Linked DNA regions of Caenorhabditis elegans. The protein of the gene in region 1 purifies or fractionates together with the protein of each later gene. This does not show direct contact. Each region holds a gene or a part of one and is shown in the gene's direction. Other genes may lie near its edges.

Region 1 (4,137 bases):
TCCAGATGTGCTAGCATACAGAATGAGCAAGGCTGCAGTTAATATGTTTGGTAGAACATTGGCAATTGATCTGAAAGATGATCATATTTTGGTGGTCAACTTCTGTCCAGGATGGGTTCAAACTGGATTAGGAGGACCACTGGCTACCTACACTGTAAGTGATTCTTACACTTTAGCTCTTAATTTTCACAAATTTTGCTTTTAGGTTGAAGAATCAACAACAGAGTTAACTGCCAGTTTCTACAAACTAAACAACTCTCACAGTGGAAGATACTTTGACAGAAACCTCAATCCACACTCATTCTAAAAACATTGAGAGTTTTCTGTTTCTCAAACAGTCATAAAGTTATGTCATTTTTTTCATGATTCAAGACTTTTCAATCAGTCTCAATAAACGGATGACATTTTGTTTGTTTCCAGTTATCACTCTACACTTTTTTCTTTTTTCGGAAAATCAATGTCATCTATTTTCTGACCTTCGATCGCTGAGAATAAGTGTTTCGCGAGAAGATGCAAACTGTTTGTGTTTTAACGTGGAGATTTTTTTTGAACTATTTTTCCCGTGAGCTTTTATGTGGTGAATTTTGTTCCACGTTAACATGTCTTGTTATATTCCTTTCGATTAGTCTGATTTTTCGTCCTCAGTCATGTCTCCAAAAAGTGTTGTCATTACTGGAGCAAATCGTGGAATCGGACTTGGACTTGTTCAAGAATTCGTGAAAGATAAGAATATTCGTCATATTATTGCAACTGCTAGAGATGTTGAGAAAGCAACAGTAAGTTAATTTTTTTTTCAATGTCTGATATTTCGGGCACAAAAAACGTTTCAGGATTTGAAAGCAATTAGTGATCCTCGTGTTACTGCTCTCCAATTGGAAGTTACTTGTGATAAATCAATGGATACTTTTGTCTCAAAAGTTGAAGAAATTGTTGGATCTGATGGACTTAACCTGCTTGTCAATAATGCGGGAAACGCGGTGGATTATCCATGTAAAGCGGTATGTTTAAAAAAAGTTCGGGTACAAGATTAAATTAGGAAATGGATTAGTTGACTATTTCCAAAGCTCACTAACAGTGAAGATTTGTCAACGTGTTGTCCAATTTTTTCTGAAAGTTTTCAAACACAATCAATTTTACATTATTCGGGTGATAGTCGGGGAAGAAATACACAGATATAATTTATCCATTAAAATATCAAATTTTCAGAAACCAAACCGTGCACTGTTTGCCGAGCAGCTGAATGTGAACACGACCAGTGTGGTTATTCTCACTCAAAAACTGATGCCACTTCTCATCAAGGCATCCTCAAAAGTGTCTGGAGATCAACTTTCCGCTTCACGTGCTGCTGTAGTCACTATCTCATCTGGACTTGCATCAATGACTGATTTTGCCACAGGAGGCCATGCTCCAAATGCATTTGCTTACAGAATTAGCAAAGCTGCCATTAATATGTTTGGTAGAGCTCTTGCAAATGATATGAAAGATGATCATATTCTGGTAGCCAGTATTGGTCCTGGATGGGTGAAGACTGATATGGGAGGAGAGAAGGCCCTTTTGACGGTGAGCTTAGAAAGTTTTAAAATATAAATTAAATTAATTTCCAGGTTGAACAATCAACTGCCGAACTAGTGGCCAGCTTCAACAAGCTCAACAATTCTCACAATGGAGGATTCTTCCAAAAAGATCTCACACCGTATCCTTTTTAAGTGCATTTCTCGAAATACTCGTTTTCAAATAGGTTTTTCTCAATTCCAAAAAAATTAAATCCAAAACCACAAAATTTTGTGACCACTTTTTGTGACGAAAGATCAATTTGATTCAAAGCGTCCAATTGTTTAGTTTATTTCTATTGTAGATTCAATAAAAGTTTATGTAGTTTTTCTTGTATTTCAAAACATGTTTATTTTATTTTCTAAATATCGGCATATTTATTTGTTTTTCTAAATATAAATGTCTTCGTATTTACTTCAATACGGTGTAACTACAATGTCACTACGATGCCCGCGTCTCTCCAGCTGTCGCTATTTAGTCATCTATTTTACTCCAATGTCATCATTTTCGCTGTGGTCTCCTACATTTTGACCCTGGTGTTCTCCGTATATAAGAGACTTTTCTATATAGAAAAACAGATTTTGTGTCTTCAAATATCTCAAGCTTGTTTCTGCTTTTTTAATCATGGAAACAATAGTTTTGTTCTCAAATTATTCACTTTTACAGAAAATTTAAAAAAATGTCGCCAGGAAGTGTTGTTGTGACCGGAGCCAACCGTGGTATTGGACTTGGACTTGTCCAGCAACTCGTCAAAGATAAGAACATTCGTCATATTATTGCAACTGCTAGAGACGTTGAGAAGGCTACTGTAAGTTTTTTTTTCTACAAGTGAGCTAGTCATCCCAAAGTGTTTTTTTAGGAATTGAAATCTATTAAAGATTCACGTGTTCATGTACTTCCATTGACAGTCACTTGTGATAAATCACTTGACACTTTTGTGTCGAAAGTTGGAGAAATTGTTGGATCTGATGGGCTCAGCTTGCTGATAAATAACGCTGGAGTTCTGCTGAGCTACGGAACGAATACGGTACGTTATGATAGTTACATGTTATTTTTTCTTTGATTGTTTTTAAAAGTTGTTCAGTATTTGATTATTAACTAAAAAATAAGAATTTCGATTTCATTCAAAAGTATATTTCATTAGACATTTATGCATCTTATAATAATTATTAATATGGCCAATTTTGAAGGAGCCTAACCGTGCCGTCATCGCCGAACAACTAGATGTAAATACGACTAGTGTGGTCCTTCTCACTCAAAAGTTATTACCACTGCTCAAAAATGCAGCATCCAAAGAATCTGGAGATCAACTTTCCGTTTCACGTGCTGCTGTAATCACTATCTCATCTGGACTTGGTTCCATCACTGACAACACATCTGGATCTGCACAATTCCCAGTTCTCGCCTACAGAATGAGCAAAGCTGCTATCAATATGTTCGGAAGAACTCTTGCTGTTGACTTGAAGGATGATAATGTGTTGGTTGTTAACTTCTGTCCAGGATGGGTGCAAACCAATTTAGGAGGGAAGAATGCAGCACTCACGGTAAGTAAACGAATCGATTAATTATCAGTTTAGAAATTGTTATTCCGATCATTTTTCAGGTTGAACAATCCACCGCCGAGCTGATTTCCAGTTTCAATAAGCTTGACAACTCTCACAATGGAAGATTCTTTATGAGAAATTTGAAGCCATATGAATTCTAAAATCTTTTTATTTTTTTCCCACCTTTTTTGCATCGGAAGTTAATTGAAAATAAACAAACTAAAATTACCTTTTGTCGTTGTCGAAAACCAGTTTCTTACTATGGTAAATTGCCATGAAAACTATTTTCATCAATTTTCAATGTTTGTGTGCAATTTACAATTGGAAAATGAACTAGGAAAGCCATTTCAATAATTTTTTGTGGGAAGTGTTTGTTTCCTTTTGACTACAAACGAACTACAGATTTTGTTTCATTTTCTGTGCCTCTTCCTCTATTTCTATTTACTTTGTTGCTCGTCTATGCCATTTTTTGAGACTTTCTGTTGCCTCTTCCTTTCCGATCTTTGACCAATTTTGTATACAAGTTCAATTAGTTCTCCCCAAAGACAGTCTGATTAATTAAATTCAGGTATTCAGGTTCATTATGTCTCCAAAAAGTGTTGTCATTACTGGAGCAAATCGTGGAATCGGACTTGGACTTGTTCAAGAATTCGTGAAAGATAAGAATATTCTTCATATTATTGCAACTGTTAGAGATGTTGAAAAGGCTACTGTAAGTGATTATTACATTTTGAGCTAAATATTATTCTCAATATTCAGGATTTAAAAGCTATCAATGATCCACATGTTCATGTTCTTCCATTGATAGTAACTTGTGATAAATCAATTGATTCTTTTGTGACAAAAGTTGAAGAAATAGTTGGATCTGATGGACTCAATTTACTTGTCAACAACGCGGGAATTGCTGTCAAATATCTCACAAAAACTGTACGTTTTGAAAATGTATGACATTCTTCAGTTATCCTTTGTCCTACTCAGAAACCAAACCGTTCAATGATTGCTGAGCAACTAGATGTCAACACAACAAGTGTTGTGATACTAA
Region 2 (3,666 bases), 4.5 Mb from region 1:
TCACTCCCACCGGGATAACTTCGAGAATGGAGACTTTGATACGACATAGCGGACTGCATGGTTTAAAATTTTCACACATGTGTCGCAGAGAACCGAAGAAATGGTATATCTGAAAATCCAACTAGCTAATTGTGCGTTTTTATTATTAAAAACTAGCCATGTTCTTGCTCATCGAAATTCCTTTAATAACTTTATCATCGTTGACACCCAGAAAAAGCCGTCCACCGTCAGTGTTCAGAAATGCGCAAATTGTTCTGAAATCTATATTTATTTTTTGGCTCCAGAAACACCCATACTTGCTGATCGGCTGAAGAGTTCTTCGAATAGATCCATCCTTGTCCTGCTTGCATTGAGTCCTCTTTAGCTGTAAATTGAAAATTCAAAAACCTTTATTTTCCACTTTAAATTACTTCAGTGAGCATCAGTTTGGTATGCATTCTGAACTCATTATGAACATCTTCTTCTACTGCAAACGGTAGTTTCACCACTACATGTTCGAATGAGTTTTGCTCCTCATAGCTCCACCAATTCACATTTTCATTTGGAGCATCGGAAACCGCAGTAAACTGATTTCCCGGGGGAAATTTGAACGGTTGAGATCCAAAGTTGACTGAGAGGCTTGAGTTTTGACATAAGACCGCCGGGAAGAGACACGTGTTCGAGTTTTTGTATTTCACATCGATGGAAAAAGCGGCGGGAAATTGTTCTCCATTTTTTGACCACCAGATGGTACGGGAATCCAGGTCAAGATAGCAACCGATCACATCGTTCAGAGTGAATGGGAGACCATAATCATCGAACTTTTTGTGGGTTGACTTCATTCCAGTCCCACCATAACCGAAACTATCCAGTCCTTTACCTGGAACATTTTAATTGGAATAAAGAATAATTTTGCACAATGCAAAAAAGTATTACCAATATTCAAACTTCCACCGAGAGTAGCCCAGCCAACTCTGCACAGTCCTTTACTTGTAATTGTAACTTCATAGTAATACTTTCCATTTCCATATAATCCGGCTGTTCCACGTGCTCCGAGCCATCTTTTCTTCACTTCACTTTTGCAGGCTAATCCAGTTTCATCAATTTCGAGATGAAGATCTTGATCCTGCTTGTTCAGTTTGGATTCACGTGGACTTGTGTCGGCCTGAAAAATAATATGTAGCATTAAACAGCACACCGGAATTTTTTGTTGAATATATTTATTTTAACTAATAGTGAGATTTAAAAATGCTAAAATTAGCGGAATATTAGAAGAGAAACTTTTAAAAAACTATAAATTTATTTTCTGATTCTAAAAATATTTAAAACTTACCATTTTTCAATGACCAGGCACGGAAGAGTTGAAATTTTAATTACGAAAATTAAAAAAAAATTATCTCGCGAAAAATGCACAACGATGCTCCATCGTTACGCGGCGCGTGTTGTTTAGCCGATAGAAAATGGAGGGAATTTCAAATAAATTTTTTGATGAAAAAATTATTTTCATACCACAAAAAATATTAAAACATCAGATTTAACAGAAAGTTCAGTTACACATTTTTTGAAAAGTTCGAAACTGAAATCGTTTGATCCTCCGCAATTGATGCGAATGTCTATGAATTGAACTGTTGGGCAACAAATCATAAACTGAAAAAACCATGTTGTAGTGAGAGTGTGTGTAGTCCAATTCAATATTCAAACCGGATTTTAGAACCAATCGTTTTTGTGTCAAATGTGCCTTGCCACTAATCACCACTACGTGTCGTCACAATTCGATTCGTATAAATAGTCGACAGGTTGTAGTAATTTCAATTCAATTCACTTCCAACTTTCAAAATGTGCAAACTTTTCGTCGCCGTTGCCCTTCTCGCTGTCGTTTATGCTCATCAAATGCCATCAGGTAGAAGTTTTTCATTTCAACGTTCTTCTTAAAACCCTTATAATTTTAAGCTGATGAGATGAAGGCCAAGCTCGTTGAGGGTGGAGTCTCCGAGGCTGCTGCCGCTGGACTCGTTGAAATCGGAGATAAGTACAAGAGCCAATTCCAGGCTCTCACCAAGGGAGATCATGAAGCTGGAAAGAAAGTTTTCGATAGCATGAAGTCCGAGTCTGATGCCTACATCGCCACCCAATCTGAAGCTGATCAGACCGCTTACAAAGCATTCGTTGAGAAGGCCAAGGAGCACTTCCAAGCTCACAAGGAAGCTGCTGCTGCCGAAAGTGCTTAAATATCAATTTTTTTGAATATGGAACCATTTTTTATTTGAAAATAAAACTTTAATTTCGCGAATCATTCCATATGTGCTTCATCCAGACATAAGACTACAGTAACGGGTGAAATATCGAGAACAACCCAATCTTTTTCCCTTGTTTTAAAAACCTACCTACCTACCTATCTACCTACCTACTTACTCTATCTATCTATGTAAACGTATTAAATAATAATAATAGTAATAATAATGATACTAAGCTATTCCATGTTCCTAATTTTGCTAATAGCTCAGACTTAAAACGATAAATAGCTGGAATAATAGTTACAGAAGCGAAAATAATATCAAGTTTCAACCTGGTATTTATTAACACAGGGTGGGCGTCATTGCAGGCACCAACAGGTCTACAAGTTACCTTCAGGTCAATAATAACTGGACTTGAAATAGATGTATCATTACCGTGTTATGCTCCGGCCCGAATAAACGTTTTTTCACGGTTTGTCAAAATGTACTTCTCCTTCGCGGCGATCAGGGTTTGTCTTTTAGGCATGTAGGTAGGCATGCTTTTCTTATGGCAGGTTCTAATTTTTACAAGAGACTTGTCAACATTTCAAACAGAAAATTCGATTCATTCAATACAAAAAGTCAAGGGAAAATGTATATATGTGCATTTCGAGCAACAACATCAGAAAATATTTAGTGAGCTGGAGTAGAGTGGTGTCCCTCGAATTCCTTCTTCTTAGACTCGATATAGGTGGCATAAGCTTTCTGATCAGCTTCTGGTTGAGTCTTGATGTAGGCATCCGTGTCAGTCTTGATCTCCTCGAAAACCTTCTTTATTGCTTCCTTATCGTCCTTGTTATCCTTGAGAGCTTCGAGTTGAGTCTTGTACTTCTCGGCAACCTCGACGATTCCTGCGGCAGAAGTCTCCGAGAGCCCAGCGGCGACAAGTTGAGCTTTCACCTCCTCGGCTGAAAATCAGATTCAGAGTTTTTCAAAGTTCAAAATATAAAAATTTCCTACCACTTGGTGGTACTGGTGGAGCAGCATAGATGGCAACAGCGAGAAGTGCAACGGCGACGAAGAGTTTGCACATTTTCTGAACAAATATTAATTTTTTATTTTGATGAGATACAGAAAGAAGATGCTTGCGAAAAGAACATATGAAACCAAACTTAAAAAATGATGATGTTATTTTCAGAGCTATCAGCACGGTTTTTATACATCCAAATTGAGATCGGTTCTAGGCGGAGACACATAACTGGTTTGTAATTTGTTACGCTTTCGAATTGAAAAAATATCCGTGCCTGTGGTTCTCTACGGCAATTATCTAGAGGGGAATAGTTCGAAAACAGGGAAAACGGTTAGATATTTTGATGTCTATCGGGTTATGGCACAACGTTTATCTCGAAGTGTTTTCGGAAAGTGTGAATCACGAGAATGACGTTTTATAGTATTCAATCAACATGAAAATTTT
Region 3 (5,010 bases), on another chromosome or scaffold:
AAATCTACAAAAAGAGAAGAAAATGTTTTCGGATCCGAATTATTGCAACAAAAGAAAAACAATGAAAAGCCAGGCTCAACAGTTGGCAAAGGATTTACTACTTCACAAACGATAGGAGAGAAGCAAAGAGCTGTTGTGACAAGTATCGACGCAAAACGACCTGGTACATATTACTTGTGGAATCTCGATTCAAAAACGTTAGTTTGTTTAAAATATTTTTTTTACCTGACAGCATTATTTTTCAGTGAAGGCTTGCTCAAATCAACAACCCCGTTGGAATTAGGCCATCAATTTGCAGGAATTTTTGTAAACCAGGAAAATGGAAAATGCTTTTGCAAAGAATATATAGGTGAAATAGAACGAGTTTTGGAAGGCAAAGTGAATGATACAAATAAGGTGAATTTAACTGTTAAACTGCTCGATTTTCAACCAGCAGGGGTTAACAGAAGACGTGCAAGTGGGACTGCAAAATATATAGGAGATGTGGTACGTTTTTACACAAGTTTCTTGATTCAAAATCCTAGTTTTAGTTAGAAGGAAACACGGAAGACACTAAACTCACAATTGAATGCATCGGAAAAAAGGTCAACATTGAACGACGTAAATTTGGAGAGAAGGACTTTGTTTGGATGGTTACCGAGATTCGTAACTGTAGCCAATACGACCAAAAAATCTTTTAATCAACTTCAAATGTATGTTTCGACGGTCGTTGGAAAAGGATTCCAACGGCCTCAAATATTATTTTTTACTTTAAATTCAGAAATGTATTGTTTGACAAAAAACATTTTCTGTTTCAGAATATTTTAATCCTTGCTTGTTCATGTTTAATTGTAAAAGTAAGAATCACATATAAGTTTTTTCTTTATAATGTTTATTGAATATTAATACCTATATCTATAAAGTTGGAAAACTAAGTGCGTTGCTTTTTGTTTGAAACTTCCAGAAATGTTGTCAAATTACACAAGTAAGTTACAAGTAAGGTAAGTTGGTTCATCAGCGACATCAAAGTTATAGAGTTTTAAAGGTTCTTGAGGGGTTTTTTGGACGGATCCTGTTTGAGACAGTGAAAACAATGAAAATATGTTCACAATATCTTAAATGATGTCCAAAATGGATCAATAGTTTTTTGTGCAAAACTATTTATATTTTTTAAAAACTATTTTTCGATTCCTTATAAGTGCAAAACTAACAGAAAAATACGTTAAACCTGTGTCAGCAAATTAAACTTTTACTAAGAGTTCAGAACATATGAATCACCATTCGCATTCCTGTTAGGAGCATTTCATCACTTGTCACGCGTCAACGATAGAAAACGGGATGAAACTTTAAAATTGATAAATTGAACACTATGCATAGTCATGAAACGGTTGAAATTTATCTTATTTTTTACTCAGATTGAAAAATAAGACACAATTGCATATAAGGAGTACTATTCTAAAATGTATGTGATTGTGTTTTATTTATTTGCATAAGAAGTTGCGTTGAAAATTCTTCGAAAAAAATCCCATCGAGTGGATGTATTATTTTGTACAACGTAATCCCCCGTAATGCTACGTTTTACTTCGATTATGAAATGTGCTGTTTCAACGTTTTATAAATAACTTGTAGAAACAGTACCAGAAAAGTCGTCATGTATACGCTCCACAAAAACCACAATAACTTTTTATGATTGATTCTTTACAAATAATGAATCACTGTGTTTATTCCAGATATAAACGCCACATTCAACAATTTAAGACTGAGGAAGTTATGGGCGGAGCAGTATGAACTATAAAACTGAACTTTCCAAAACGATGACAGTGTTGTAGCGTTATCAGTTTTCTTTCGACTTTCCCGTTATATGTATTTGTCTTTTCGTTCTTTTTTCTTTTCTGAAATGTAATCAATAGAAACATTTTCAATTTCAGATTGGGAAACCTGAGCCTTGTTCACTAAAAACAACACTAAAGTATTTTATTTGAAAAAAAAACATGAACAACTTCACGATGCCAGATCCGCAGTATTTTTTATTTGCTGCTCGAAGAGACCAGGGTCAGCTTATTCTAGTCAATCCAAAGTCTGGACAGCGTTTTTTGATGAATGAGGAATTACTTCGTAGAGACTATAGAGTTCAGCTTGGAGATTTTCTCAAATGCAGAACCAACAGAGCGAGAGAATTGTACGAAATTTCACAAACCAAACATACTGCAGACATTTCAACAGTTATCAACGGGGATGAAGCTATTGTAAGTTTTTGAGTTCTTGTTAAAATGAATATTAACAATACACGTTCTTAGGTGGTAAATCTCAAAGTCAACCTAATTTCTCAAAATGGACTTTTGCTATTTCAATGCCCACTTTTTGATGATATCCGATGCTGGCCTGTAATACAAACAGGAAGATACGTCATCACAATGAGACTGTAAGTTGAAATTCTATTGCAATTTTGTTGAAATTTTGTGTGAAAAATTTTGAAAAATCTTTGAATTTTATTGAAATGCAAAATACAATAACATGAAAGGTGAATTGTTGGTTTTTACAATTTGTTATCAGTTCGAGAGTATATTTATGCGTCATATGCTTCTTGTTTGCACCGAAAATGAAAGACTGATATAAATGAATCACATTTTTTTTTCAGATTAAATACATCTCGCGAAATGATACCTGGAAAAATTGTTCATTTTGAAGCTGTTGACATTGCAGCTCAAGCACCAAACGAAAGGTTTGTAAACTCCGGACAAAAAGTAGGCTCCGGATTTTCAACTACTGCTAAGAAACCAGAACCTATTGTTGGAACTGGATTCTCGTCGGCTTCAAGAACGGAATCGCCAAAACCAAATTCGACGGTCGTAGGAAAGGGATTCCAACGGCCTCAAACTCCAAAACAAAATACAAAAGTGGTGGGAAGCGGATTCCCATCTCCACAAAAACAGGTAACCCCGGCAAACAACAATAAAGTTGCTGGCTCGGGATTTCCTAAACCTCCCAAAAAGGAGGAAAAAATCGTTGGTACTGGATTTCAACCATCGAAAAAAGATAAAAACTCTGAAAAGCCAGGACAAATTGTTGGCGAAGGATTTACGACTTCGCAAACAAAAGAGGAAAAGCAGCGGGCCGTTGTCACAAGTATTGACGAAAAACGACCTGGTTTATATTACTTGTGGAATCTCGATTCAAAAACGTTAGTTTGTTTGAATTTACTTCACAAGCAATGTTTGATATGTCCATCGGGAATCTCGTATACTTGGCATTGGACACACGATGGAAACATCGGAAATAATTTTTGTTAATTGAAACTTCTATTTTTCAGTGAAGGATTGTTCAAAACTACAAAGTATGTTTTGGCACTGGGTCATCATTTTGAAGGAACTTTCCAGAAACAGGAAGATGGAAGATGTGTTTGTAAAGAGTACAAAGGGCCAATAACTGAGCTTTTGCACGGCGGCATCAATGATAAAGAGAAACTATTTTTGACGGTTAAAATAACCAAATTTACACCGGCAGGAGTCAATCAAAAATTCTCAACTGGAACAGCAAAGTACATCGGAGAATTGGTGAGTTTTCGATCAGCTGTTCTATTTATAAGACAAAAAATGTTTTAGCTGGAAGGAAGCACTGATGAAACTAAATTAACTGCTGGATGCATAGGAAAAACCGTCAAGATTGAACGCCGTGGAGTTGGAGAGAAGGACTATGTTTGGATGGTTACTAAGATTTTGTAACTGGTGACAATAAGGACATCAGCTTTTCTAACTAACTTAAATTCTTTTTTACTTCTTTTCTTCTGAATTAATTGTGTTTTAAGGCGGCATTCTATGTTTCAGAATTTATTTACGTTTGCTTTTTCATGTTTAATTGTAAAAGTAAGCAATTTTTCCACCGTCAATCTTTCTATATTAAAAAAAAATTAAGTTATTCAAGTGTTGTGAATGGTTCTAGGATTTTTAATTTTAAAAATCTAATATCTGAAACAGTGCGGATAGACAACATTTAATAAAGCAAAAAATACATCTCCTAAATACATATCATCAAAACTACAGTTTTATTTGTGTATTTTATAAAAAATATTAAAGTTTGGTTCTCTTGATATTTCAATGCTCATTTTCAATATTTATTTCCTATCACAAAAAGCGTTTTCAGTTACGACTTTCTCGTGCAGCATTTTTCCGAAAACCGCGAATCACAAAAATTTCAAACCAAAAGTTTGATTCCACTTTCAAGATAAGAAAAACTACTTTTTTTGCCTATCTTTCATGTATTGATTTTATAATTTCTGTCGCAGATGGCCTCAGATTCGCTTACGTTTTTTGCTGTCAACCGATGCGTGTACGCGAATAGTGGATCAGTTATTATTTTATTTGGGTTGAGGTAACTTCATATGGTCCGAGTCGATAACAAAATTTTTCTCATTAAAATTGTTGTTGCTAAAAATTCTGATATCATTTAAACACACTTTCGCAAAAATATGAAGGAATATAAATCAAACACTAACAATTGTACATAGAACTCTTTGATATTTTTCAGCCCTCATAACAAAAAATATACTGTACTCGAAAGTGAATTACACCGTAACAATGTTCATCTTGGCGACTTTCTTAATGCCTGCTTGATTAATGAAACAACATTGAAGTTATTCCAAAAATGCTCTCATCCTAATGATGAAAATGTTAGTGTCGTACAAAACGAGGCATATGTAAGTTGATTTTTCTGCGAGGAACCTCAAATCCGTTCAACCTTTCAGTTGAGATTTCCATCTGCAGAGGCAACGTTTGATAACAATGGATCTTTAATTTTTAACACAAGAAACTTTGGACCAATAGTATCATCTGATCAGAATTTATCTCCCGGAAGATATTATATTGTTATCAAAGCGTGAGTACCTTTTTGGCGCCAGGAAATACTCGGAAATCTTATCAATGTTCAGAACGGGGCAATTAGAAAAGGGTGACATCACCTTGTGTGCTGATGTTATTGATGAAGCCAACTTTTATGAAGAACCAAGAAGTAAACTATCCCGAAAGGGTATTTCAA

The links.
Region 2: the proteins of sdz-8 (region 1) and spig-1 fractionate together in Caenorhabditis elegans (co-fractionation; one large-scale study listed by BioGRID). This does not show direct contact.
Region 3: the proteins of sdz-8 (region 1) and C49A9.9 fractionate together in Caenorhabditis elegans (co-fractionation; one large-scale study listed by BioGRID). This does not show direct contact.

Annotation. Positions count from the first base shown.
Region 1 is NC_003283.11:11,514,272-11,518,408, reverse strand, and holds sdz-8 (C-factor), read left to right. Parts: upstream 1-2,217; 5' UTR 2,218-2,230; coding exon 2,231-2,359; intron 2,360-2,410; coding exon 2,411-2,578; intron 2,579-2,741; coding exon 2,742-3,095; intron 3,096-3,154; coding exon 3,155-3,256; 3' UTR 3,257-3,323; downstream 3,324-4,137. Other genes in the region: C55A6.4 (DeHydrogenases, Short chain), read left to right, coding at 648-776, 831-998, 1,207-1,560, 1,605-1,706; C55A6.6 (DeHydrogenases, Short chain), read left to right, coding at 3,679-3,807, 3,855-4,022, 4,074-4,137.
Region 2 is NC_003283.11:7,049,913-7,053,578, forward strand, and holds spig-1 (DUF4473 domain-containing protein), read left to right. Parts: upstream 1-1,802; 5' UTR 1,803-1,815; coding exon 1,816-1,879; intron 1,880-1,929; coding exon 1,930-2,207; 3' UTR 2,208-2,267; downstream 2,268-3,666. Other genes in the region: tofu-2 (Schlafen-like protein 2), read right to left, coding at 1-109, 158-254, 297-364, 411-859, 916-1,144, 1,313-1,315; txt-17 (transcellular chaperone signaling (x)cross tissue), read right to left, coding at 2,886-3,160, 3,213-3,285.
Region 3 is NC_003282.8:6,215,465-6,220,474, forward strand, and holds C49A9.9 (FHA domain-containing protein), read left to right. Parts: upstream 1-1,907; 5' UTR 1,908-1,970; coding exon 1,971-2,225; intron 2,226-2,276; coding exon 2,277-2,401; intron 2,402-2,617; coding exon 2,618-3,160; exon of another isoform or gene 3,161-3,289; coding exon 3,290-3,533; intron 3,534-3,581; coding exon 3,582-3,701; 3' UTR 3,702-3,983; downstream 3,984-5,010. Other genes in the region: C49A9.5 (DUF272 domain-containing protein), read left to right, coding at 1-197, 246-486, 531-680; C49A9.4 (Cadherin domain-containing protein), read left to right, coding at 4,262-4,347, 4,504-4,672, 4,721-4,851, 4,904-5,010.